3 linked regions of the Oryzias latipes genome follow. Each later gene encodes a partner of the first gene's protein in a complex. Links are inferred from orthologs where the notes say so. Each region holds a gene or a part of one and is shown on either strand. Other genes may lie near its edges.

Evidence for each region.
Region 2: the proteins of nedd4 (region 1) and grb10 are in contact, whole or in part, in a crystal structure (PDB 3M7F), measured with the Mus musculus proteins. The link is inferred for Oryzias latipes from reciprocal best matches to the Homo sapiens genes NEDD4 and GRB10. Residues at the interface, in NP_035020.2 of Mus musculus: Glu71, Leu72, Val79, Arg104, Ser112, Ile114, Leu115, Thr116, Ser117, Val118, Gln119, Glu134, Ile135, Leu136, Phe137, Arg138, Leu242, Pro243, His244, Pro245, Pro246; in NP_001357532.1 of Mus musculus: Ile514, Arg516, Gln518, His519, Phe521, His522, Gly523, Arg524, Asp548, Gln579, Phe581, Gly587, Asn588, Thr589, Lys590, Phe591, Ser592, Ile595, Gln596, Asp599, Phe600, Leu603, Asn604, Ile617, Arg618, Val619, Ala620.
Region 3: the proteins of nedd4 (region 1) and gap junction alpha-1 protein are in contact, whole or in part, in an NMR structure (PDB 2N8T), measured with the Rattus norvegicus proteins. The link is inferred for Oryzias latipes from reciprocal best matches to the Homo sapiens genes NEDD4 and GJA1. Residues at the interface, in NP_037118.1 of Rattus norvegicus: Asp416, Asp417, Tyr422, Val424, Asp425, His426, Ser428, Lys429, Thr430, Thr431, Thr432, Trp433; in NP_036699.1 of Rattus norvegicus: Pro277, Leu278, Ser279, Pro280, Met281, Ser282, Pro283, Pro284, Gly285, Tyr286.

What each region holds. Positions count from the first base shown.
Region 1 is NC_019861.2:21,565,450-21,573,549, forward strand, and holds the start of nedd4 (E3 ubiquitin-protein ligase NEDD4), read left to right. Parts: upstream 1-2,902; 5' UTR 2,903-3,484; coding exon 3,485-4,783; intron 4,784-8,100. UniProt on the Homo sapiens protein: E3 ubiquitin-protein ligase which accepts ubiquitin from an E2 ubiquitin-conjugating enzyme in the form of a thioester and then directly transfers the ubiquitin to targeted substrates. Specifically ubiquitinates 'Lys-63' in target proteins.
Region 2 is NC_019874.2:13,043,846-13,051,872, reverse strand, and holds the start of grb10 (growth factor receptor-bound protein 10), read right to left. Parts: upstream 5,444-8,027; 5' UTR 4,974-5,443; intron 1-4,973.
Region 3 is NC_019882.2:10,599,873-10,608,043, reverse strand, and holds gap junction alpha-1 protein, read right to left. Parts: upstream 5,337-8,171; 5' UTR 5,214-5,336; intron 3,431-5,213; 5' UTR 3,415-3,430; coding exon 2,236-3,414; 3' UTR 234-2,235; downstream 1-233. UniProt on the Homo sapiens protein: Gap junction protein that acts as a regulator of bladder capacity. A gap junction consists of a cluster of closely packed pairs of transmembrane channels, the connexons, through which materials of low MW diffuse from one cell to a neighboring cell.

The sequences.
Region 1 (8,100 bases):
CTACAGCCGCTGAGCAAACAGATGAGAGCTGAAGGCATCTCGTGCTGTTACAATAGGGGTAATGTACCTTCGGACAAGTGAGAAGTAGATGTGTATAAATCCCTTATATTATATTTATGTACATTTCTTTGTGGGCTGATCTGAAGAAAGCGCTAGAGTGGGATTGTAGAGATGGGGCTGCAAAAACTTTCACACACATGGATATCGACACATACACAATAAAAATACAAATCAACTCACATTGATTCGTATGAATAATTTTGCCTTATTGCAATGTGTGTTCTATCAAATGAGAAACAACAGAAGTGGTGGCTACAAGCAAAGCCTCTCTTCCCCACATATTTTCCCTAATCTTGTGGCAGCTGAGCATGTTGGTGTTGCAAGTGACTTATTGTCCCATTGTGTGCATTTCTGTAACATTTTGCTTCTGAAATCATAGGAAGTCAGACCTGTTATTCTGTTTGTGTCACTTTTAGTATTTAACAATTGTGAACATACTTTAGGTCTATGAGATTGTTAAATAAAAAACCCAATCAGGCAAACTGTAATGTTCTATGAATTCTTCTAGGTTTAGGATTGGGTGTTCACTACTACTTTACAGTTATGCAAAGATGTATTTCTCTTAGAGGTAAGGTAGAAAGAGAGGTTGTGCTGTGTATATACCTACTACATTATGCAAAGCATCTCTGTTGAACCCTTTTTGAATTCTATATTGCAAAGTTCAAATACTTTATTTAAAAAAAAAGTAAAACCTTGCAACAATACTGAGCCTATTGGCCCTCAGTTGCACAAATGCTGTCAAGTAAAATTTTTTTAAAGACTTCAGGAAAAAAAGGTTCTAGACCGAATCTTTTTGAAATAATCTAAAATCATAGTTTTTCACATTTGCTCTTGGCAAGCATAGCTGCCCTTGATTGAAAAAAACCATTTTAAATCCACCTTCATCTATTCAATTTAATTTTATTCATATGGCAAAATTTGAAATACAAGATCTAACGACACGACATGGTGAGACGACGTAGCTAACGACACTAGCAACGGTTGCTAAGGAGCCGTAGTGAGACGACAGGGAGGAACGACACTGTCAAAGACAAATGCAAAGGTTTAAACATAACCCATGAACAAATGTTCAGTAGACAGAGACAATGGACCAAAGACATAGACAGTGGTCACAAAAACATATATTTGGCACAAACAGAACCTCATATACTATAACATGTTTGGTATTTCTAGGAAAATGTATTTTTTACCATCTCTCTGTTTTGACAAAAGATCCTTTATAGTGTTATAACAGAATTTTTTTTTGTCTCTGGTTCATCTCTTAGACTTCTCTAGAAAGTGGATCCGTCCTTGTATTATTTCGGTTTCTCTTCATTTAAGGAATCCTAAAACGACGCCCTTTCCTTTCAAACATAGTGAAGTTATCAAACACATTGGGAAACACTGATAAGGTTGGGTTGGCATAATGTAAATTCTCATTAACCATTTGCACTGTAGTGGTTCATTTTGGTCTCAATGGACTATCTTTCAGAGATTCTGCTTCCTATTTATTACATCCTAATGGATATCTTAGCCTCCATGCTTCTAATTTGTCAGTATAGGACTCAATGTGTAACCACAAGGCTCTTTAGAACAGAAGATTGTCTTGCTCCATTTAGATCGAGAACTGAAAGATTTCCTGGATCCTGGATGAAGTGGTGACTCAAACATCAAACTTCTATGTTTTATCAAAAACATGTGTCCATGGCAATTGCTTAGAATGATTCCTTAGAATTTGATAGTCTATGTTTATGCTGTAATTGGTTTTTATCTAATAGGTACCATCTGCAGACTACAAGTTTTGATTTTCTGTTCACTTTTGATACGCGCAACCTGATTCTGCTAACGATTTTTCCAACTTTAAAGAAGTCAGTATTAAATATTGTAAAAAAAATAAAATTATAAATATTTGGCTAAATCAGTGATGTGACATTGTCCATTCCTGGTAGGTTCCATTCCATACATGTTAGTGTTTCTCCGCTCGATTTAATTTTGTATTACTGCTCAATTTCAGTCTCACTGATACATCCAGTTGGAGCAGTTTGATTTATTTCAGAGCTAGATTGGTTGGTTTACTGTAAAGTAAAATAGTTAAGATTTAGACTGACTCCTATTTTACCTCTTCAAATTCTCCTCAGATCTTATCTCAGAGTTTCCATTTGTAGCAACAATATCTTGCACTCTTAAATGTTGAGTAAATATGACCTTGTTTACTTCTGCGTCATGGAACATGAGATCCGGCAAAGCTCCTTCATTGTATTAATATATTACATCATGATACAGTTGTGTAGATTGACAAATATGTGTGTGGTGTTAGTCATACATCTTATCTTATGGCTGACCTATCACCATCACTCTCCTCTATCAGTTCTGGGGAGTGACTCATCTGCAGTCATGTGGTTCACTGGTCATGTGAGACATTGTTCCACCATGAAAGTGAGCAGGAAAAAAAGTGTCTGCTCGTGAGTCATGTCATTATCCTAGCTTTGCTTCTTAATATTAAACATTACCACCGCTCTGTATTGGAAAGCAGAGTAATTATCGGAAATAGACCAGCCTAGCTAACAATAAGCTTCCATTAATAAACTGGACTGTCAACAGCCATGGAAAAGAAATCAGAGCAGCAACTGGCTGTTACATGCGGAGTCATATAACCAGTGTCGTGTGACGGTAATGTCACAGTTATTATAGTTTTTATTTTAAAAGAAATATCCTTTAGCTCAGTGTTTAGCAGTTTGTTGGATCCCTGCTCAAAACAAGTAATTTAGCATTCTAGTTTATCACTTTGGAAGTCTCAGCATTAATGCTGTTGTGCAGCTTTAAATCTGTCTTACAATCCAAATGATCTATTTCTTCAACTTGAGCTTCAGTTTGATTCAGAATTATGTTGAAAGTCTTTCATTTTGATTTCCTGTAATTTCCTGTAATTCAATAGTAGAAGGTAAAAATATTTGTTGGAGGAAGGAGCAGCGAAACATTAGATGAACTGCAGTCACAGGAAGTGCAGTCCTGAGTGAGTGAGCCAAAGCAGATGTAACAGTTCACTAGACATTCAGCGTAAGTCTGCCTTCTTCAAGCTGGTTTTTCTTTCTTTTTAAAAGAGTAAACAAGATTGAATAAGATCGAGAGGGCAGACTTTCGATAATGGCATAATTACTTGTGTTTTACTGTAACTTTGTTTTCTGTTAGGGGGTCTGCTCTGGTTTTAAAATTGTTCATTTGGGTCAAGTATCCAAACAGAACCACTGGCCCCTTCTGACTTAAAGCTGAGATGAGCCTGGAGAGGAATGTAGGTTGTCACCAGAGCTATTTTGGCAATGTCCAGTCGCTAATGATTGTGATCACAGCGGAGTGCGCAGCAGTTGCTTTACTTGCTTCTTTTTCCTACCAGCAAGTGTGATCATGCTGCTCTTACAGGCGCTGCAGGGATTAGGGAGTTAAACAAATGGCGCGTCGGCTCCGCTTGCATTTCGCGTCAAGGAGAAGCAACACGGACCCCCTGTCACAAAGCCCGAGCAGCCACGATGAGGAGAGCGGAGTTGGTGCGTCTGTACGTAGTCCCACACAGAGTCTGGCGCACAGTTCTGTCCACTTGAAGGTGACTCCTCTGTCACCAGACTTTGCCAACAGTCAATACTCTTCAGTTTTCATACCGAGAGTTAACACTGGAGGGTGTAATACGAAGAGCGTTCTACAAATCTCACTGCAGCCCTGTGGACAGCTCAGTGGAGAGCAGGATGGCAGCATAGAGGATGGAGACCCTGGGGTTAATGAAGGCGGCGGAGGGTCGTGCCACAGCAGCATGGCAAGTGATGCTGGTTACTGCAGCAGCAACAGCATCTTTGAACCGGAGCCTCCAGAAAAGCACAAGACCAACCACGAGAGAACTCGACTCTCCTGGAGAACCAGAGTCCCACTGCGGAGGTGCTCGTCTTTGGTTATATTTCCAAAAAGCCCCTGCAGCACTCCACCTGCCTCCCCAGTGAGTTCAGGAGCTTTGCCACCTCTCCTGCCAGCAAGAGGATCTAGTCATTCAACTCCTCAGTCATCTACCAATACATTTTCACAAGACGACGAGGAAGTAAGTTACAAAGGGTCCACCACAGCTGCAGTCAGTTGCCAAAGTCAGCCAAGAGGAAACTGTTCAGCAGCTGAGGACTCGAAACACACGGTGCACTTTAATCTGCCTGTACAGGATAAACAGCAGTCCAAAGCTGAGAGCAGGAATGCAGGGGCAGAAGTTTCATCAGCTCCAGACAGGTCTAATCGTCACTCAAGTAGTTTGCTGCTGCATTTTACCCCCCACAGTCCACAGGGCTCGACAAAGGCAGCTCTCAGTAAGGATGCAAATGTGGAATATCCAGAGGCTCATCACCCTACTAATCGTGCTGAGCATGTACATGATGGGAAAAAAAAACTGTATCGCAGTACCTCTGCTTGTTTGTTTCCTTCTACAAAACCATCGCCCAAAAGGAAGCCTTGTTTAACGGGGAATGGCCAAGACTGGTCTGAGGATGGTCGCTGTCACCGTGCCGTGCAAAGGAGTTTTTCCCTCGAGGTGCCGTACCCTAACACCGAAATTTCATGTCACGTTTCAAAACCGAAGCTCAGCAGCTCTTATTCTCCCCATGTGCATATTCATTTGTCGCCCTGTTGCCCCACAAAGTTGCCCAACTCTACCAATGATGTAAACACAAGCCATAAATGGAATAATGAAACAAAGAGTTCAGGTCAGAGCACCAAGGTGAGTGCTATATTTAACGCTAACACCGACTAACAGCTGAATGCCTGAACTGGGATGTTGTGAAAACTAACATCTGTCAGAATTTTTTTTTAATGTAGATTATTGCCATATAGTTTTTCTGTGACATAAGTTCTGCTGAAAAAGTTGCTAAATAAGTCTAGCTTACAAAGATGTAATCTTACCCATCAGGATACTATTTAAAACGGGGTAATTGGTGCAAAATGCAAATGACAGGGTTTTATAAAATATGTAAATAACAAATAATTTAGAATTTTTGCTACCAGAAAAAAAATAGTTTCAATAAAATTTAAAGAACAATGCTACATATTAAGTACACATTTGTTTTTTCTAACTCTCCTTTTCATTTACTACCACTAAAGTGTTGCTTACAAGGGTTAGCCTTCAGGCTTTGTTCAAGACGTGCTGTAACTCCATAAGATCTTGAATACAAAGTCACGCAAAGAACAAGTACAGTGTGGACAAACACTTAGAGATATTGATTTACATTATATTTAATCCTTCCAAATGTGGATTTCCAAATAATGTGTGAATTGCAAAGACATGGTTCTTTACCATCTTGGGGGCATAACAATCCAATGTTGGGCAAACTCAACAGTTCCCTACTTTTATGATTCGGTTAGCACTATGAAGGATCAACTTAAGTATATCCCAAGGCTAATTTTAGTGGTGGGAAAAGTGCTGCCCCTTGCTGACTTAAATAAAGGGGCTCTGAAATATTCCCCCTGACTCCAGATAGTCTGGTGGACTGAAGCACTGCTTGGTCCTGTGGATTCAAATTTAACAGCATGATACTAGAGCAGCACACAGTCATGCCAGCCATCTGTGGACATGGCATGTGTGTGCGTGTTTCCCAGTACGTGTGCTGCCTGCACTGTTGTTCGTCTTCCAAGCAATGTTTGTTAAGTATTATGTGTCGGTCTCCCCACACTTTTGGCAGGTTGTAAGAAACTAAGGATTTCTGTCACATTTAGATGGTCTTTTCATTTTTAAAGATTTTAATGTTGCGCCCTCCTTTTAAATCATACTTTGTTCTAAATGCAGCAAGGACTACTAAAAGGTACTTGTAATGGTTATTCAGTCAAGTCTCACATCACACATGTGCAGTTAAAAACCTTTTTTTTTTACTCCTGTTCCACTTGCACTTCACCACCAAAGACATTTACTGCGTTATGTGTAAACTTGTCTCATACTGTAATAATGCTTGTATGTTGTTCCTAAATTTCATGCTTTTCCCCTCAAAATTTGTTAAATTTGTTGAAGTTTAAATACTTCCTCAGCTCATTTGCTGTGTTACTGCTCTATATTTATCAGAATGTTACTGTCACACATGTACTGTATAAAAATACATAAACTGGACACAAATATAGCCGCTTGCTTTGGTTTTTCAAGTTATTCTTTCATTAGTGGTGTCATGCCAGTCCAAAATGTCCAAATTACAGAATAACTAGGACTGCACTTGATCCGCACTTGATGAAGTGTGAGCCAGATGTTTCATGTGTGCTTTATTTGCAAGTATGATTGGTTTTTCATTTTATAATGCTTAAAGTACTAGGGTTTTACCTCACTGATAACTCTGCTGGTATTTAAATAAATGTACCGGTATACGAACCCAACAGAAAAAAGAGAACTATGGATTAAGTTTAGGGTGTTGTTAAATTGTGATGTTGGCTCTTTTGTTATGTTGTTTAGAATGTATGTCTAATGGTATAAATACCTGAAAAGACCATTCCATAAATTTTTTTTTCCACACACCCCTTATGACAAAAGAATCTTTGTAGCGACTTCAAAACCAAACAGTCGCTGAGAGGCGGACGCTGGGTCCGGGTATTGAATGACGGGCTCAGAAAACCAGAAAGCATAACGAAGTTTGTATTTTGAAGTTTTAATAATAAAAAAATGAAAGTAATTAAATCCACTTATTATATTATGATCAAGAAAGAAAAAAACAGAGAATCAAGAAAAAAGCACTAAAGCGTATGAAGCGATTAAAAAAAAATAATACGGCAACCCAGCTCACCCCCCCCCCCTTCCATCTTACACAGGGAAAAACCACAGGTGAGTTAAAGTTAATGTCACCACCCACAAACATGTGACCCACCAGCTGATTATCCTACTCAATGACCTATAATAAAAACAAATCTATATTTATTCAGCATAAGAAAGACCACACTTAATTCTTGGCACCTACAATCTTTGTGTTCATCTCTTAAAGACACCTTAACTTTGAAGTGTGGAAAATGTGACTTTCTTTTTGTGTCTCAATAAATATGTTGTGTTGATACTGTAAATTTTCCATGAGGAAAGCAAATGAATCATATTAGCCTTTAGACACCGTGTGGATAGATATGATGTTAACTGCAAATGGTTTCCATTTCAGGAAATGAGTTTGCTTTTTTGAACTTTTTCCATTTTGCTTTGGGTTCCTGGGTTCAAGATGAAGTGGGGATACTTTGCCCAAATGTTAAAGAAACACGATCAACACACTCCCCCATTTCCTTTACTATTAAACATTTTCAAACAGAAAATGTTCATTTGGATGGGCCTTGGGAAAGAAAGCATGACAAGCTGATGCTGCTGGATTCTTCAAGGGAGACTTCTTTCCTTTCTCTCTCTTATTTGTGTAGTTCCCTCTGGATGTGTTTGCACAGGTTTTTACCTGGGATTTGCAGAATACGTAGCATATTTTCTCTTCCATTGTCACTATATATTTAAATTTATAATTGGTATCATACTGACGGATAAAAGCTGTTTTGGAATATATAATAAGCACATTTTGGGAGGTAAAGCCATCGTGGCTCATTAAACTTTTGTATGTGATGATAAAGCTTGTATGACTTTTTTCTGCTTCCTTTTGATTTTTTCATGGGGGGGGGGGGCAGTGGCTCAGGTGGTTGAGCAGGTTGGCCAATGATCAATGGGACGGTGGTTCGATCCCTGCCTCCCCCAGTCAACTGTCGTTGGGTCCAGACGCCTCAATTTTTTCAAATACATTTCTCTGAAAATGTTAAACTACCAACATTACTAAGATAATATATTCTATATAATAGGATGGATCTCTTGACCATCATTGAAATCAAAGAATTAAGACTAAAGAAAAGTGCTGCCCCTTGCTGACTTAAATGAAGGGGCTCTGAAATATTCCCCCTGACTCCAGATAGTCTGGAGTAAGACTAAAGTAGTGCAGCTTTTCGAAAATGGTTCCTAATTTGGTATTCGCTGGTTGTCTGTAACTCAGATTACTCCCTTAAGTTTGTTTGGCTCAGTTTAGAAATTATTATCTTTGCTGCTTCACCTTT
Region 2 (8,027 bases), on another chromosome or scaffold:
ATTCATGCATTTCTGAGATGCTTCAAATTTGATCAGTTACATTAATCTGACTAACAAGATAAGAAGTTAGCGTAGTCATAGTAATATGTTACTAAATGCATTCAAACATCTACAGATTAGAAGTGTCTTTAAGGGACATTTCTAGCACATCTTTATAACACTACTTGTTGCACTCCTTTTTTGTTTTCTGAAACTTGTTTGCTCTAAATGCAAAATATTGCAGTCACATCATGCTCTTCATTCAAATTTTAGACTAAAGTTGATCAACAAATGTATAGTATTTGCATACAAAGTTTCCTGTTGTGGACCTAAATGGACTTGCATTAAGAAATTGAATAAAATTCGCTTTCTAGTAGCAAGAGTGAGAGTGTTTGTTGTTTGTTTGTCAAGCAGGAGCTAGTGACATAAACTTTGCTGATGTCTCTATGTAGGGTTAGCTGATAGTGTCATGACACCAGTGAGGGGGTATTAACAGAGTATAAGCCCCGACTAACCGGTGCTGAATGACTGCTAGGTGACGCAAGACCTCATGGAATGCTGCCTAGAGCGTGACTGCAAGCTCTTATACCACCAGTACCAGCTAAGAGGAGACCTCTGCCAGGTTTCCACCTAAAAAACTGTTTCAATGTCATTACACATAGACACATATCAATATAAAGATTTAAATCATCCCAGACACAAAGACAAATTGGGTGAGGATTAAAGACAGGGGAATGTAAAATATGTCCCAATTGTGAGTACTGTCGAGCCTTAACATATTAATATGTACATTTGCGCACAGTAAATGAGTCAAAAGTCTGTCAAAAATAGTACTTTTGCAAAATATCGTGCAATAAACGCAGTCTGACAGATTGTAATCTTGACAGGCTCGTGCCCCATCATGCCTGTGCTTATTTAGCATAGACTTGAAATAGCAAGTTGTCTGGGCAGTGGGGGGTAGGCGGGGAAGCTCAGTTAGTTGCCATGTGCACTGCGGTGTGACCAAAATACAAATAAATAGTGGGAGGAATTTTTTTTTAAAATCACCTTTAAAGGAAAACATCATTAATGTGTTTTCACTTATGCTTAAACTTGTATTTAACTATTAAGAATAAGTCCACAAAATCCACCAAATTTGGCCAAAGTGTGCATGTAAATTCAATGTATGGTGTGGGGGATGGGTGAATGGGGCAACATTGCAAACCAACAAGAGTTGGTTGCAAACTGAAATTATGGCACTAGATGTGACTACACAACGATGTCACGACTAATAATAGAGGCTGATATACTCTGGTCAAACTGTGGTGTGTCTCTGTTGCATTGCAACGATGCAAAAAATATAGAAACTTTTTTAAATGAATTGGAATGTTTACATCCTCTCCGTCACGTCTGCGTCTCAGGTCCAACACTCTGCAACGCAACGCCAGCTTTACGCAGGAGTTCTATCTCCAGTCCGTTCCCCCGGAAACACAATGACACAATACATGCATTTTAAAGGGAGGTAGTGAGGAAGGAGCGGGCATGGGGTCTGATTGCTTAGGTTCTGACGAACGAACAGAGCGGAAGGAACTACTCTGCACAGATTTGGCAGGACAAACCACTCCTCCAGGAGCCAGAGGGAGGGGGGAGGCAATGTAAACCAACTGACGGTCCTATGACAAACTCAATACGCAACCACAGAGTGTCAATTCGGGGTATTGTTTGGTTAATCTAACAGCAGTGCCAAGTATGTTGTGGACAATGATCCACCATGACCAAAGGGACACAACAACACACTAGTAGTCCCAGAAAAACAAGCGTTTGCTCTTCAAAACTTGCATTCACATTAAATAATCACAATTAGGGCTGCAGGACGTGAGGAAAACGTGCGATGTTCAATTTTGGTGATCGACGATATGAACAAATAGCAAAACAAATGAATAAACAACTAAAACAACATTTTCATTTCACAGCAAGATTTGAATATAAGGTCAACTTTAAATGTCTCACATCTATTAATTTATAGGAGGGGGGCATCTAACAAAAAAAGGGCTCCATCCGCTTGGTCAAATGCGTAAAGGGCTCTCCTTGATACTTTAAGCTCCCATGAGAGTGTATTGCATGTGCGTAAATATTTAAGGTAATCATTTACTGCAGTTTGTGCTGTCTGTTGCGTCATGCAAATCGCACGGCCCAATATTGCAACAATGAATTTGTTGTGCAGACCTAATCCCAATCAAATCAAAACTACATTTGAAAAAGTGTGCTGCATGTATTAAAGGCAACAATAAACAAATGTCCCTATAAAGCCACTGCAAGTACATTCATCTGTTTTTAATGCCTACATCTCTGAGAGAGAACTCTGCAAGAAGATGTCAATTGTTTTTTATTGAAATTTCAAACTAACAAGAGCCTATTTGGAATTTTTCTCACAAATTCAAATTAAGGCTGCTTCAAACCCTCTTTCAAATCTCGCAAATTCCAAGTAAGAACATTGATTTACAGTCAACCTGACTGCATCAATACTACCAGGAACCATAAATGTTTATGCAGCATTCTCCAGTCTACTGCTGAGCGTGAAAGACCCACTCCAATTACAAATGGGTTTTTAGCGTTTCTAACATGTTCTTGTGGCATTTTTCTGATGATGGAGGACGTAGATAAAGAAAATTTAGTTAAAAATTGCATTTCTGATTTTTTGCGTTATTCAAATCGTTGTGAATCAGACGAAAAAAAATGCGGTTTCAAAAAGATCTCCCTGCTCCAATATCAGATAGCTCCAATAATGCTCGCTATTTTTGTTGCACCGCTAATGTTTGCTACAACCAGTGTTTTTCAACCTTTTTTGAGCTACGCCAAACTTTAACCTTGACAAAAATCCCGCAGCACGCCAGCATCCAAAAATTACAAAAAAAAAGGAGAAACTCATAGTCTGTATTGATCTACAGCTCCTCTGCAATCTCACATGCATTTTTGTGATAATTGTGGCAGAAAAAGCTGGAAGTTCCAGCTGTGTTTTCTAAAATATGTAATAAAAGTTAAGTTAAAAGATTTAAAAACTGTCTGATGTGTGTTCAATGTGGTTTCAAGACGTTTAAAAAGGAAAGACTCATTGTGCGCTGAGATGCTGTCACTTTAACCCAATGCATCATGGGAGATGTAGTGCAAACAGACGCCAAACGCAGAAAGACTAGCGTCTCTGAGCTTCATTGTTTTGTTCACTCGTTCCACGGTCTGACTCTGGGTTTTGTGGCAAGCTACACCGCTAAAGACGAGCTTTAGCTGGTATTTTTGTTGGAACTGAGAGACTTTATGAGCTAAATCAGAACAAGGAAGTGAAGACTTTAACCACTTCTGATTGGTCAGACTGATGACGTGTGATTAAGACTCCAAGAATGATTGGTGGAGACAGTTAAAGGGGCGGGACTTCTCCGAAAACAGCTGAAGCTGCGGCTAAATCTCGGTACTGTCATTCTTATCAAAATGTCTTTAATAGAATCAAGTATTTTACGATCTTTCATATTCCTAACTCCTCAGTGTTTTATCAGGGCCTGTTTGGATGAACACAGAACTGATATCCTGGAGATGGTAAATGTTTTTAGATCAGTTAATGAGGGCAATTTCCCACGGCACATCTGACCCTCTCCCACGGGCACACTAGTGTACGTGCCGCGGCACACTGGTTGAAAAACACTGATCTAGGCAGTTTGAGAGGCTGCAAGCTAGCAAGAGAGAGAGTGCAAACAGATGGATGATGGGAAGTAGGGTCGGGCTTACGCCGTACCAATAGTACCGCCCACAAGTTCGAGGTGAATTTCTAATGAATTCCTGTCAGTCTGCAGAAACTAAATCCAAGAAAAAAAACACAAGTTTTTTTTAATATATTGGATGTAAACGGCATAATCATAAGTAAATGACCACTGGGAACGCTTTTAACAAAAGATCAATAGATGGTTGGAGTGGAGCTTTAAGCTAATTTTTTTGCAAGACTGTGTCAATAAATTAGGATTATCATGAAAGACGTGGTTTGTAGAGATCTGTTGTCACCGACTTCATCTGCAACTTCTTTTTTTTTAGCTTTGCAGAAATGTCATGCACTTTGATCATGTCTACTGCAGGGCTGAGACGAAGTGAAGTAGATTACAGGCAAAACAGAACTATAAGCAGATCATAGCTTCCTGAAAATGAATAAGGATATAGAAACTTTCATGTTCGGCAAGTAAGGTTTGGGGAGTCCTCCAAAACAGCCTCTGTAACTCCCTTAAGGGACCTAGAAACTGCTTTACAGTTTCTTCTTTATTTGTTTTTACCTTCCCAGTATCGACTGCAGGAATTTTCCTAGACATCCTCTGAGTGGGAGCTTTACCACACTGCAGGTCTACGTGAGTATCTCAGGGAAAACGCCTCCTCCTCCTCCTCCTCCTCCTCATCATCATCATCCTCCTCCTCCAATCTTAGGATAAAGCGATAAGGCCAGACTGGAACTCCCACACAACCGAGCTGGTGTTGAAACCAGAGGAGGAGGAGGGAGGGGGGTTAAAATAGTAGCCGGGTTGAAACAAGTGTGGGATCAAAATACCGTCCCCAGAGGGCGACCGGAGCAGCACAGCTCCCTCAGAAAGGCGTGGAAAAAACGCATGACATGCGCTGCAGTTTACGGTCATGCCTCGAGAATCCAGTTTGGAAGCAAGCAGAAGTCCACGTTGGAAAGAAAACATGGAGGGCAAAAAAAATAAAATAAAATAAAATAAAAAGCTCGATTGCATCGACTCCTTGTTAATAACTTGTTTTCAAAGTTGTCGCTTTTGGAGATGGAGGCAGGTCTGACTGCGCGGTTTTACGCACAGTGCGCACATGTGTTCCGAAACAAGCATGTGTCATCCCAGCGGCGCAGGGAACTTTTACCGCACTGACTAACCATCCTCAACCAAAACACACACACATGCTGAAGGAATGGAGAGAATTCTATCACATGCATGAGGAGCAGTAAAGCAAAAAATCAACACGCGCCTCACCTTTAGTTTAGAAACGGAGCCGTTCGGGGCAGGCAGGCGGACAAAAAACACTGACTGTCCGAAGACGAAGGACACTGGCCGGCGCTGGATCAGGCCACGTCGGTCAACATTCCCAGGCTGGACAGACTGACTGAGGCAAGAGGAGGAAGAAGAGGAGGAGGAGGAGGAAGAAGAGAGGAGGAGGAGGAGGAGGAGGCAAAAACAGTGGCAGCAAAGACTGTAGGGCAGCTCATGTCATGCGGCCAAGGGAGGAGGACACGCACGTACACGCAGACAAACCTGAACGCGCTCAAACAACCCCTCCCCTTTCTGAAAAAGGCCACGCCCACCACTGTCTCATGATGTGAGAAAAAGGGCGGGTCCAAAGGGTTACTCTGGTTCTCCCTCTTCTTTCTCTTTTTTCTTTTTAAAGAGCCAGATAAACAAATTATCGTTGGATTGTGCAAAATCACACTTGTTGGCAGATAGTTTTCACTTTTTAATGCTTTCTATTTTCATTTAACTTATTTTCAGAAAGCCTTAACTTCAATTTTTTTTTTTCACTATCTAAAGTGTATTAAGTTGTGACCTAAGCTGTAATGCTTCTTAATTTACACGTTTTTTGTATATTTCTTATGTTTAATGATAAAAATAATCCACTACATGGCTTCTCTTTGCAGTCTAAGTACCAATTTGTATTTGTTTTCTTTAAGTTTTGCTCATCAAAACTGATTTTTGAAAAAGATGTAATTACCTAATAGTTGGGGAAACATTACATAATATGTAATTCAGATTGTGCTCCTCCCAGACTGCTTGAAACATTTAATTCATTAGTCAAACTTTATCTTTGTTCCTTGACAGGATTGCTGAACCTTTTTAATATCTGTCTTCTTATGATTTGTTTCAAAACCCATAAACCAAAAAAAAGAAAAAGAAAGAAAGAAAAATAGTCCCTACAGCTGATAAAATAATAGGTATACATTTTCTTGAGAGGATAAAAGAGGTTTTTAATGATTTAAAAAATGATGTCAAGGTATGGAAATGTTTTAACTTTAAAATCAGAACAGTTGTAAGGCCAAAACATATTGATCATCATTTAGTTCTGACTTGCTTTGGAGCCAGATGCCTAAATACATTATTTATAACGGCAGGTATTATGACCTTTTCCTTAGCGACTCAAACCTATAAAAATTGTGTTTTTAATGTGTTCTACTCATTTTTTTGAGGACATATTTTTAAACAATTAGGCTTAAAGTTGCATTTCTGAGTATTTTTTTATTCAAATCCTTGTGAATCAGTAGCAGGGGAATAAAAAATGCGGTTGGAAAAAAGATTGTAGTTCCCTGCTGCGCTCTGTTCTGGTGCATCCACTGGCAGACAAATAGATCCATGTACGCCTTTGTTTTCCTCATTTGAGCTGGTATTTGTCTCCAAAATGCTTGACATTTTGATGTTGTGGTTGGATTTGTACTGTTAGGTTGGGGATGTGAGGGGCAGTAAGCTAGTGGGAGCGCGTGTTAACAGATGGATGTCGGGAAATAGGGGCGGGCTTCTTCCATGCCAATAATCCATCCACAACTCAGAGGTGAATTTCAAAACAACTACTTCTGCTCTGCGGAAACTAGGTCCAAAAAACAACAACTTTTTTTTTTTTTTTTGGCTAAAAACAGAACAATCATAATTAAAAGACAACTGGGATCACATTTAAAATAAATCAAAAGATCATCCGAGTGGGTCTTTCACAAAGCTCAGACTGACTTGATCATTTGTTGTATTTCACATACGTGTCACCAACAGTTCCCAAACACAAGGACTTCCAGGAGTCTCCATTGAAGACACATTCGTTTTGTGTTGTGACAGAGTTGCCTTAGGTAGCAAACACAACTTCCCTTATAAGAAGACCCTGTTCTGACAGGCACAATCTGCAGTAAAGCTGAATTCACAGGGAGGTACAAAGTTGCACAACCTGGGGTCAAAACTCATTGCGCCAGAGTTCCATCTCCGAACTGTTATGTTTTCATCCCTCTGAGTGTTTTCCTATTGCATAAGATATTACAGTGTTTATTACTAGACTGAGAGGAACATCAGAGGGGCATGTTATCTAACTCCTTTGTTGAAGCGTATAGAGATTTAAACACAAATAGAATGACTTGTAGTAAACCCAAGAGTACCTTCTGATTAATTTATGTCTTTGGCCACGGGGAGAACAGGGTTGACCCAGAGTTCAGCTCCTGGCTATCCAGCGTGTAATATTTCAGGTTTTTTGATGGGAAAGCACCATGGGACACTGAAGTGCATAAAATCATCAATCCTGAGTCGCTTGTGTGTGCTTGGATTAGGACATGGAGGCTCCTACTGTGTCCACACACTTATAGCCCCTGAGTCACACATATGCAAGTGCACATCATAGCCGAGGTGCCTCTACACAACAAGGCATTCATTTTAAGTCTGGCACCGTGGCATAAAACAAACACATACTGTGTGGATTACCCTTCATCAGACATTCATTATCACACAGTCTTTGTTCAGCTTGATGGATGAGATGCAAAAGAAAGTTCCCAGTGTAGGAAACCTGTCTGTGTACCTTCTGCTGGTAGATGACATCACAGTGTCCATCATTCATGAGTCAGCCCCAAAAAATGTGGTTAGCAAAAGAAATACAATATAATGATTTAATAATAATACTAATGTTTTTTTGTTGTTGTTGTTTTTGTGCAATAGGAGACTTTTCATTTCTTTAAATTGAACAAAAAAATGGTGTAAATACATATCAAAATAAAGGAAAATTTTATCTGGAAAAAAAGCCTTTCGTCACCATAAAATCTGGGTTCATAGGAAATGTTTCATATTTATAATTAAATGCTCACTGACTGTAAACTTCTATATTCAAATTGTGTAAACAGGAAAATAACAAATAGTTATCTTATGTTGAGAAAAGAAACAAACAACGGCCTTAAGGCTCTAAAGATAAGTAAGTAACCCCAGGTTGTTGCCACAGGTTTACAACAGCCTATAGCGTCATTTGGCCTATCACAATCAAGAAATTGTACACACAGTTCTTAGAAGGTGCTGTGT
Region 3 (8,171 bases), on another chromosome or scaffold:
AGCACCCAAACAGAAATAGCCTAGCAGGAATTTAAACCAACAACCCAAAACATCTCACCCCACCAGAATAGTTCATTTGTCTTACTCCTTAATGTCAACTTCCAAAAGAACTGTTAGCTTTGAAACACAAACAAGATACCTAGTGATCAGGAAACATCTGGTCTCGTCTGTGAATCCAAATTTTTGGAGAGAAAAAATCAAACTATTGTTTTGTTCAAAAAAAGGTGACACAGTCAGGATTTAAGAAAGAAAACTTTATTGGTTAGAGAAGCATTTCACAGATACAAAGAGCGACTCTGTCTTTTATTATCAGGCACTTTCACTGTACAACAGTGGATCCTCGTGGGTCAGCACCGCGCGACAGACCACTGGTCCGGTTCTGTCACTGGTGTGCGCCACAGCTCCCTGTGAAACCAGGTGATTGACATCGTGTGTGGCTGACTTTTGTGTTGTACAATAAATTAGTAACATGTCTGTAAGAAAACTCGTGCTTCAGAAAACATCTTCTAACACCAAGATCTCAGTGCAAACATCCAAAACATGAGTACCGACAACATGATGAACAGGTCAAGATGAGGACGGGAGGGGAGGGACAGCTGTGGAGCTACCAGGGCAGACGTTAACACACACCACTAAAAATTAGTCTACAAACTCACATTTCATCTGGACAGCTAGTTACAGTTACAGTACTACGTCTCTATGTGTCAGGCAGCAGCGGTTAAACAAACCCTACAATACTCAACATTCAGAGTTCCTGTTCGCCTCAAGAGACGAGCTCAATCCGAGCTTGATCCGAGCGCTAGGTGACGGTGACGCACGGAACAAGAAAGTCGTGAAACAAAAGCACGTCATCACACAGATTCAAAGTCTCTCAGGAATCCACTGTATAGTCGGCTGCGATTGTAAGGCAAACGGTTTGGTTTGGTGTTCAATTAATACGAAAGGGGGTTGGGTGGAAGACGATTGTTTTTTTTATATGGCAGATTCAGGGCAATAATCCTGATCTTCCACATGAGATGAAGACCTGTTTAAGACAAGTACTCAACGAAGAGCATAGAAAAACTTCACCAAACCACGACTCCAGTTTTTTTGACAAAATTCTCAGTTAGAACTCAAGAGGGGTATCGCATGGACTACAGTCCTGTATCCCAACTATATTTGGCACCTGTTCATTGAAACTGCAGTTTTCTACTGCAACCAAAGGTTTGTGCCTCCCTGAAGGTCATGGTTGGTTAGGGAAACCGCTGCTCAGAACGTTTCAAAAAGTTGTTTACAATCAGGTCCTAGAGAGGACTAAATGGTGACTTCTGTCTGTAGCAACGGTAGAACCAGTAAAGGATCAGAATCCATTATCTGGACGTACAACCCTGGAATATCACCACAGGTCCTGGTTGTTCAGGGCTTGTTTGTGGGTCTACTGCATGTTCAAACAATAAACACTATAAGCTTTACTAAGAACTAGATAAACCCCCGTTAGTCGGCAGGTTAGTTTGGAGTTAAAGGTTAAGAAGGCAGCAAAGTCATCAAGGGGGCCAGAATACGAACAAACCCTGACAAACCAAAACCTAGAGTGTTGAACGAGGCTGGTTTCAAAGATCTCAGAGCATTTGAGGACCAACTCCATCAGGGCTGAGTTTTAAAATCAATTCTGTGACAGAGGGGGGTCCTACTCTACAAGACTTATCAATGTGTTTCTCTGGTTAACAAAAGCTGTCTGATGCACCGCCCACCAAGTACAGTGTTTTCACTAAATAGTGCAGGCTACAAATACCAAAGAGACGTGTGTCAATAGGAGGCGGCTCTGCTCAGGTTCCTAAATCCGAGCAGATGGCCCTGCCTCTTGTATGCCCTCCACCTTGTTTGTTGTTCCTTCTCTGTTGCCCCTCGCCGGCTGTAGCTCCACGGCGGTGGTCTAAAGATTTTGAAAACTTATGGGTAAAGGATGAACCGGCTTTCCGTGTTCTGAACCAGCCCTATGGCTGCTGTGTTTTTTAAAGCTGGACTAATGGAACTACAAAGTTACAGTACAGACAAAATAGTTGCGAGTTGTACCTTTTGAAAGTGTTACACTGAAGCTTTAATGTCTCTGACTGACACACAGTCTCTATCGTGAGGACAGTGATTGAGGTTAGTCCCACCTTCTTCATGACCCTTTCTGATCAAGTGTTGCCTGATTGTCCGCCTGCAGCCTCACATCCTGTCGGCCAGGCAGAACGGTAAGGTCGCCAGGGCCCGTTAGACATCCAGGTCATCGGGTCGGGCTCTGCTGCTCATCCTGCTGCTAGCCCGGCTGCACGGCCTGGGGTCCATCAGCGCCAGGGGCTGCAGTTCGTGTCCCGCTGATGATGTGAGTTTCTTGTGCTCATGGGTGTCATCAGGAAAGTCAAAGGCTTGTGCGTGGGAGTTTGAAATGGTACTTCCCGCACCAGTTTGACCCAGCCGGTTCTGCTCCGTAGAGTAGTTGGCCCAGTTCTGCTCATTGGCTTGCTTATTGTAATTCCGGCAGGAGCCGGTTCCACGCTCCCCTGTGGCGAGCTTGTAGCCTGGAGGGGACATGGGTGAGATGGGGGCGGTTGGGGATGAACAGCCGTTGTAGTAAGCGTACTTTGTGGTGGACAGCTCTTTGGGGGTGGGGCTCAAAGTTCCTCCTCCCCCGGGGAAAAGCCCGGCCTGCTGCTGCTGCTGCTTTCCCTTTACGCGGTCTTTGATCCTCTTGAATAAGACGTAGAAAAGCTCGATGACGTTGAGCATCAGAGAGACCAGAGAGACCACCAGCATGAAGATGATGAAGACGGTCTTCTCTGTGGGCCGCGACAGGAAACAGTCCACCCTGTGAGGACACGGGTCCCTCTCGCAAGTGTAGACGGCGTTCAGACTGAAGCCGTAGATGTACCACTGGATCAACAGGAAGCCCACCTCAAACAGAGACTTGAAGAAGATGCTCACAATGTAAGTTCTGAGGAGGCCTCCCTTCATCTTCACTTTTCCGTGCTCCTCAATGCCGTACTTCATTTTTTTTAACTCAATTTGCCTAAGCGGGATGTCAACATCACCCCCATCATTCTGAACGGCTTTAAGCTCCTCCTCCTTTCTGTTGAGTTTCTGTTCCTTCCTGTGCAGATAGAAAACGTGAGCCAGGTAGAGCAGCGTGGGCGTTGATACAAAGATGATCTGCAGCACCCAGAAGCGAACATGGGAGATGGGGAACGATTTGTCGTAGCAGACGTTTTCACAACCAGGCTGCTGGGTGTTACACTTAAAAGCCGACTGCTCGTCACCCCAGGCCGACTCCACTGCGGTACCCAGAACCAGGATCCTAAAGATGAAGAGCACGGACAGCCAGACCTTCCCACCCGCAGTAGAATAGGCCTGGACTTTGTCCAGCAGACGACCCAGAGCACTCCAATCACCCATCGTTGGGGAGTGTTAGCTGGTGGAAGAAGAAAAGAGAGAAGTTGAACTGACAATGTCGTGAAGTCAAACAAACTTTCAGTGTTGGCTGAGTTGCAGCCAGACGTTGGATAAAAGCAAAGGAGAGTGATAAGATCTTACAGGAAACATAACTGAGAGTTATTACTTTGGACGGAAAATTTGTGGCTTCAATTCACTTTTCCACTCACTGTTCTCTCAGTTTGTTCCAACTTCTAGTTTTTGCATAAAATAGTGTTGCATTATAATCCGTTTTCTTAATTTTAGTTGGGTTTTGCTAATTTACAATCATAAATCGGATGTGGAGATCCTCTAAAATTAGGTTTTCTTTTTTGAGAAACATTAATATGTTTGATGGAAACAATTAATTCAATTGAAAGAACTTTAGTTTTTTGTTTGTTTTTTTGAAGGATTATGTAATTAAGGAGAACTTAAGGGGACCAAACGAAATGCTTAATGACGCAACAAGCTAATCCAATTAGTGGAGCAGGGGACAAAGAGCACGTTTTTGTTCTTTTCCTTAAGAGCTTCACTTTAAATCCAGACTGGCTTGGAAAAAAGGAATTAAAATGGAAAACACATTCAGATTCTGCTGAATCAAAGCGCTGTGGAACTACTCTCATCATCTTGTTTTCTATTAGACACTTTTAGCAGAAATGAAGGCGACAAAACTTATAAATTCAGACAGTTGGGTTTTAAAACTGATCAGAACTTTCAATGGTGGAGCCACAAATCAAAAAATAACTCTAACACTGAAGGTTCTGGTTGGTTCCAGCTGACTGGGTCCCTAAAGGTCTTCAGGTCTTCATCCTGTAAAAGTTTTGGCGCTTAATGTGCATTAATCCCTTTGCGCATTTGGGTGCAAATATGCATCAAACCACTTCTGTTACAAAATTACCTTAATAAAAAAAAAACTGGAAAAGAATGTAAGCGTCAAGAGCCAGAATGTGGCCCCAGAGGAAAGACAGAAAGACCAAAAAAGATGCCGACAGCTAACACAAGGAGGCTTGGTTGAGCGCCGCCCGAGCCTCTGTGCTGTGACGGGGTTCAGTCGGGGCATCAAGAGCCCAGGAGAAATCCTGCTGCAATACAGATGCAGAAACAGGAGGCAGAATGTTGTTTTTTCATGTGACTGATACAACAACAGGTCCTTGAAAGGCTTTCAGATACTCTGACTGTCAGACAGAAGCACTGGAGGTGCATCATGTAAAACCCCAGCTGTAAATCATGAAAAAAGAGGATCTGCAGACTTTACTGACCTCATGGAAACATCAGGTCAAAAAAAACAACCCAACAGGACATTAAATGCTGGTGCATGTGACACATAAAAAGATTCTCAGAGTGGGCCTCACAAGAAAGACCTTTGTGGATGAGCAGGAAGCTGCAGGCTGGTTCAATTCTCTGCATGTGCTCTCACTTATCTGGAAGCTCTGCAGGGTCCAACTCCTGAGGAGTCCGGGAGGAGAAGAACAGTTGCTGACTGTTAGGAGACACAATGTCCCGCCACTTTCTGCATGAATGAGTTCAGAGAAAGCAGCACAAAGCGCTACAGAGCTTTGACAAGGTCCTCTGGAGGAGCCCAAGGCTCCTCTCCACCACACAACCCACATCCACTTCAGAGGGAACCACGGAGAAACCCGTCCAGAACCGCTCACCTGAGCGCACACTGAGAGGAGAAAGTGTCCTCCATCTATCTGGTCCTCAACAAGAAGACTGGTGAAGATGTTGCATTAAGAAAGAAAGAAGAGTTGCCTGGTTCTGGTCAGGACTGTAGTAGAACTCACCTGGACGTTCGGAGAGACCGTGTCCGCCGTGTCTCAGTCCTGTGGGGAGGGGTTGGACTCGCGCACCGGCCCCGCAGCCGAACTGAACCAAACTGTCAAAGTTACTCTATAAGAGGAGGTCCAGTCACGTGACCACATCCACGTCAAGAGCCTGTGGGGGGAGGCGCGAGAGTGCGCGCGCGCGCGCGGGGTTGTACGCGCAGCCGCTCACCTAGAAGGTTGGAAGGGCCAGGGCCGGAGTTAGTCTTTTCAGGGACCAAATCAAAACACAGTTACGTTTTTTTTATTTTTCTCTTTTTTCCAGTATTATTTAAACATTAATATAATTTCTGCAGTGATCGAACGTATAAACTTTAGATTTAAACTATTTGTAAGAAGAAAAAAATGCAGGAAGACAAAGCTGACAGGTCCAAAACCACACTGATCCTGTTATTTTTAACATTTAAAAACTTAGGCCAACATAACTGGAGTTGTGATATACTGTAGCAAATATGTGGGTAAAAAAATGTTGTGCCATCCATTATAAAGAATAACTAATAATATAAACTATTAAACTGTGGGCTATAATCATCTCAGTTTCCTCATTGTTTAACAGAAAGTCACTATTGCAGAAGTTGATAGAAAGAAATAATTCCTACATTTGGGCTCATTGACTAGATCTAAACCAAAAGAAAGCATTATTTATTTAACTCTTTTTGAGAATGAATCAAATCAGGAGATTTATGAAGATATTTAAAATAAATATAACTTTTTCCCATTAATTTAAAAAGGGAGGTTGCTAACAAATTGCTAACAATTAAAGAACTTGAAAAATATGTAATCTCTCTCTCCCTCTATCTATCTATCTATCTATCTATCTATCTATCTATCTATCTATCTATCTATCTATCTATCTATCTATCTATCTATCTATCTATCTATCTATCTATCTATCTATCTATCTATCTATCTATCTATCTATCTATCTATCTATCTATCTATCTATCTATCTATCTACCTAATCTTGAACTATTGGAACTGATTTTAATTTCCTTAATCATGATCTATTTCATTTTTATATGGTTTCATTGTTTTTCTTTAAAAAAAAAAAAACTAAAGAAACTACTAAAATGAGCAGCAAAAGGTCTTCCAGATAAACCTTGCAGGTCCTGGAGAACAGAACTGTCTGATAAAAGGTTCCTGATCATGTGATCGGTGTGGTGACATTTACCAACACTGAATGGTCCCTCTGAGAAATCACAGTTAACTGAGTAGCAGTCAATAGCGCCACCTAGTGGTGGAAGTGATTAAAAACAATCAATTGTTAAAGTTTATCCACCAATAGAATAGAATAGAAAGCTTTTCTTGTCACTGTCCACCTGGACAATGAAACTGGAGTAGTCTCCATTTTAGTGCAAAAGCAAATCTAACAAAGTATAATATAAAACATGTCAGTATAAACAATGTAATATAACTATATGTATATTTATATATTTAATATAATTACATTGTAATTTAATTATTATTTTCTTTATAATAATGTGCAGAGTGATATGTACAGATATAAACATGTCAGATGTGCTAAAACAGCATGGAGGGGGGGGAAGTGTTGACCAGTTCACCTAAATAAGCACATGTACATATACACATACATAGACATATACACTGGCAAGTGCTGTGGCAAATTTTATCTGGGTGTTTTGGATTTGAGTATGGTTTTTGCCTTGGGAAAGAAGCTATTTTTGAGTCTGTTTATTTTAAATTGGATGCCTCTGTAGCGCCTCCCAGAGGGCAACAGGTTGAACAAGTCTGAGCCAGGGTGTTTCCTTGATGATGTTTTGAGCCCTGCTGAGGCAGCGTGTGGAGTAGATGTCAGTCAGGGAGAAGGTGTCCCATTTGTCTTCTGAGCTGTCTCTACGACTCTCTGCAGCCTCTCCTTGTCTGCAATGGCAGCTGCCGTAATGTTATGCAGTATGTGAGGAGGCTCTTGATGGATGAGTGGTAGAAGGTCAGGAAGTGTAGACACTGCTGAGCCTTTTTGATGATTGCTGTGATGTTGGCTGTCCAGGAGAGGTCAACAGAGATAATGATCCAGACGAACCTGAAGGTGTGGACCCTCTCCACATTGATATGGAGGGGGGCTGGGTAAGCGCCATGCTTCCTGAAGTCGAGGATGATCTCCATGGTTTTCCTTGTGTTTAGAGTAAGATTTTTCTCTGAAGACCAGGTTGTCAGCTTCAGGACAAGGCAGTAAAAGACAAAATGTAATCTCTGTTCTCGACTCCATTTATAATCTAGAACCTCAAAAGCAGATAAATATTGGAGAAGAGAATTTGAACAAATGCTAAAAAGAGTTAACTAATGACATTTTTTTGCTAAATTCATTCGTACCCAAAATGCGCTTCTTTTACTGAGGCAGATATGTGCCAAAACACGTGTTTAAGTTTTGGCACATATTTGCTTTCAGAAAGATTTCCTGTTGTGGTCAGAAGTTCTGATCTTTATTTCTTTATAGTCGAGGTGAATTGGGTCAAAGTGTGTTTTATCATATTTTGTGCCTTCACCTAAGTTCATTAATGCATTATGTAGGAGCTAAAGGCCTAGAAACTATTTAACTAAGTTCTAGCTCCTTTGATACACTGAGATGTGCGACGCCAGAGTTGATTGACGCCAAGCGGGCTGTCGTTTCCTTATACGACGAAAAGAAATGAGTCTTTTACTCCGATCAACTTTGCATTACTTTGTTTCTTTTATTAATTTACACTACTGAACGGATTGGACTACTCTTTTGCTTCATTTCCCGCACAAGCGGTCAAAAACCATTTCTCCATCTGGCTCATGTACACCTGTGTGTGGTCAGATCATCAACCAATTTATAATTGACAGCAAAACATGAAAACAGCGACACCCACAGGACATTTTTCTCAATAGGGCTCCTACACATTATGTTAATTGTATTGTATTGGTCCATGCAAACCC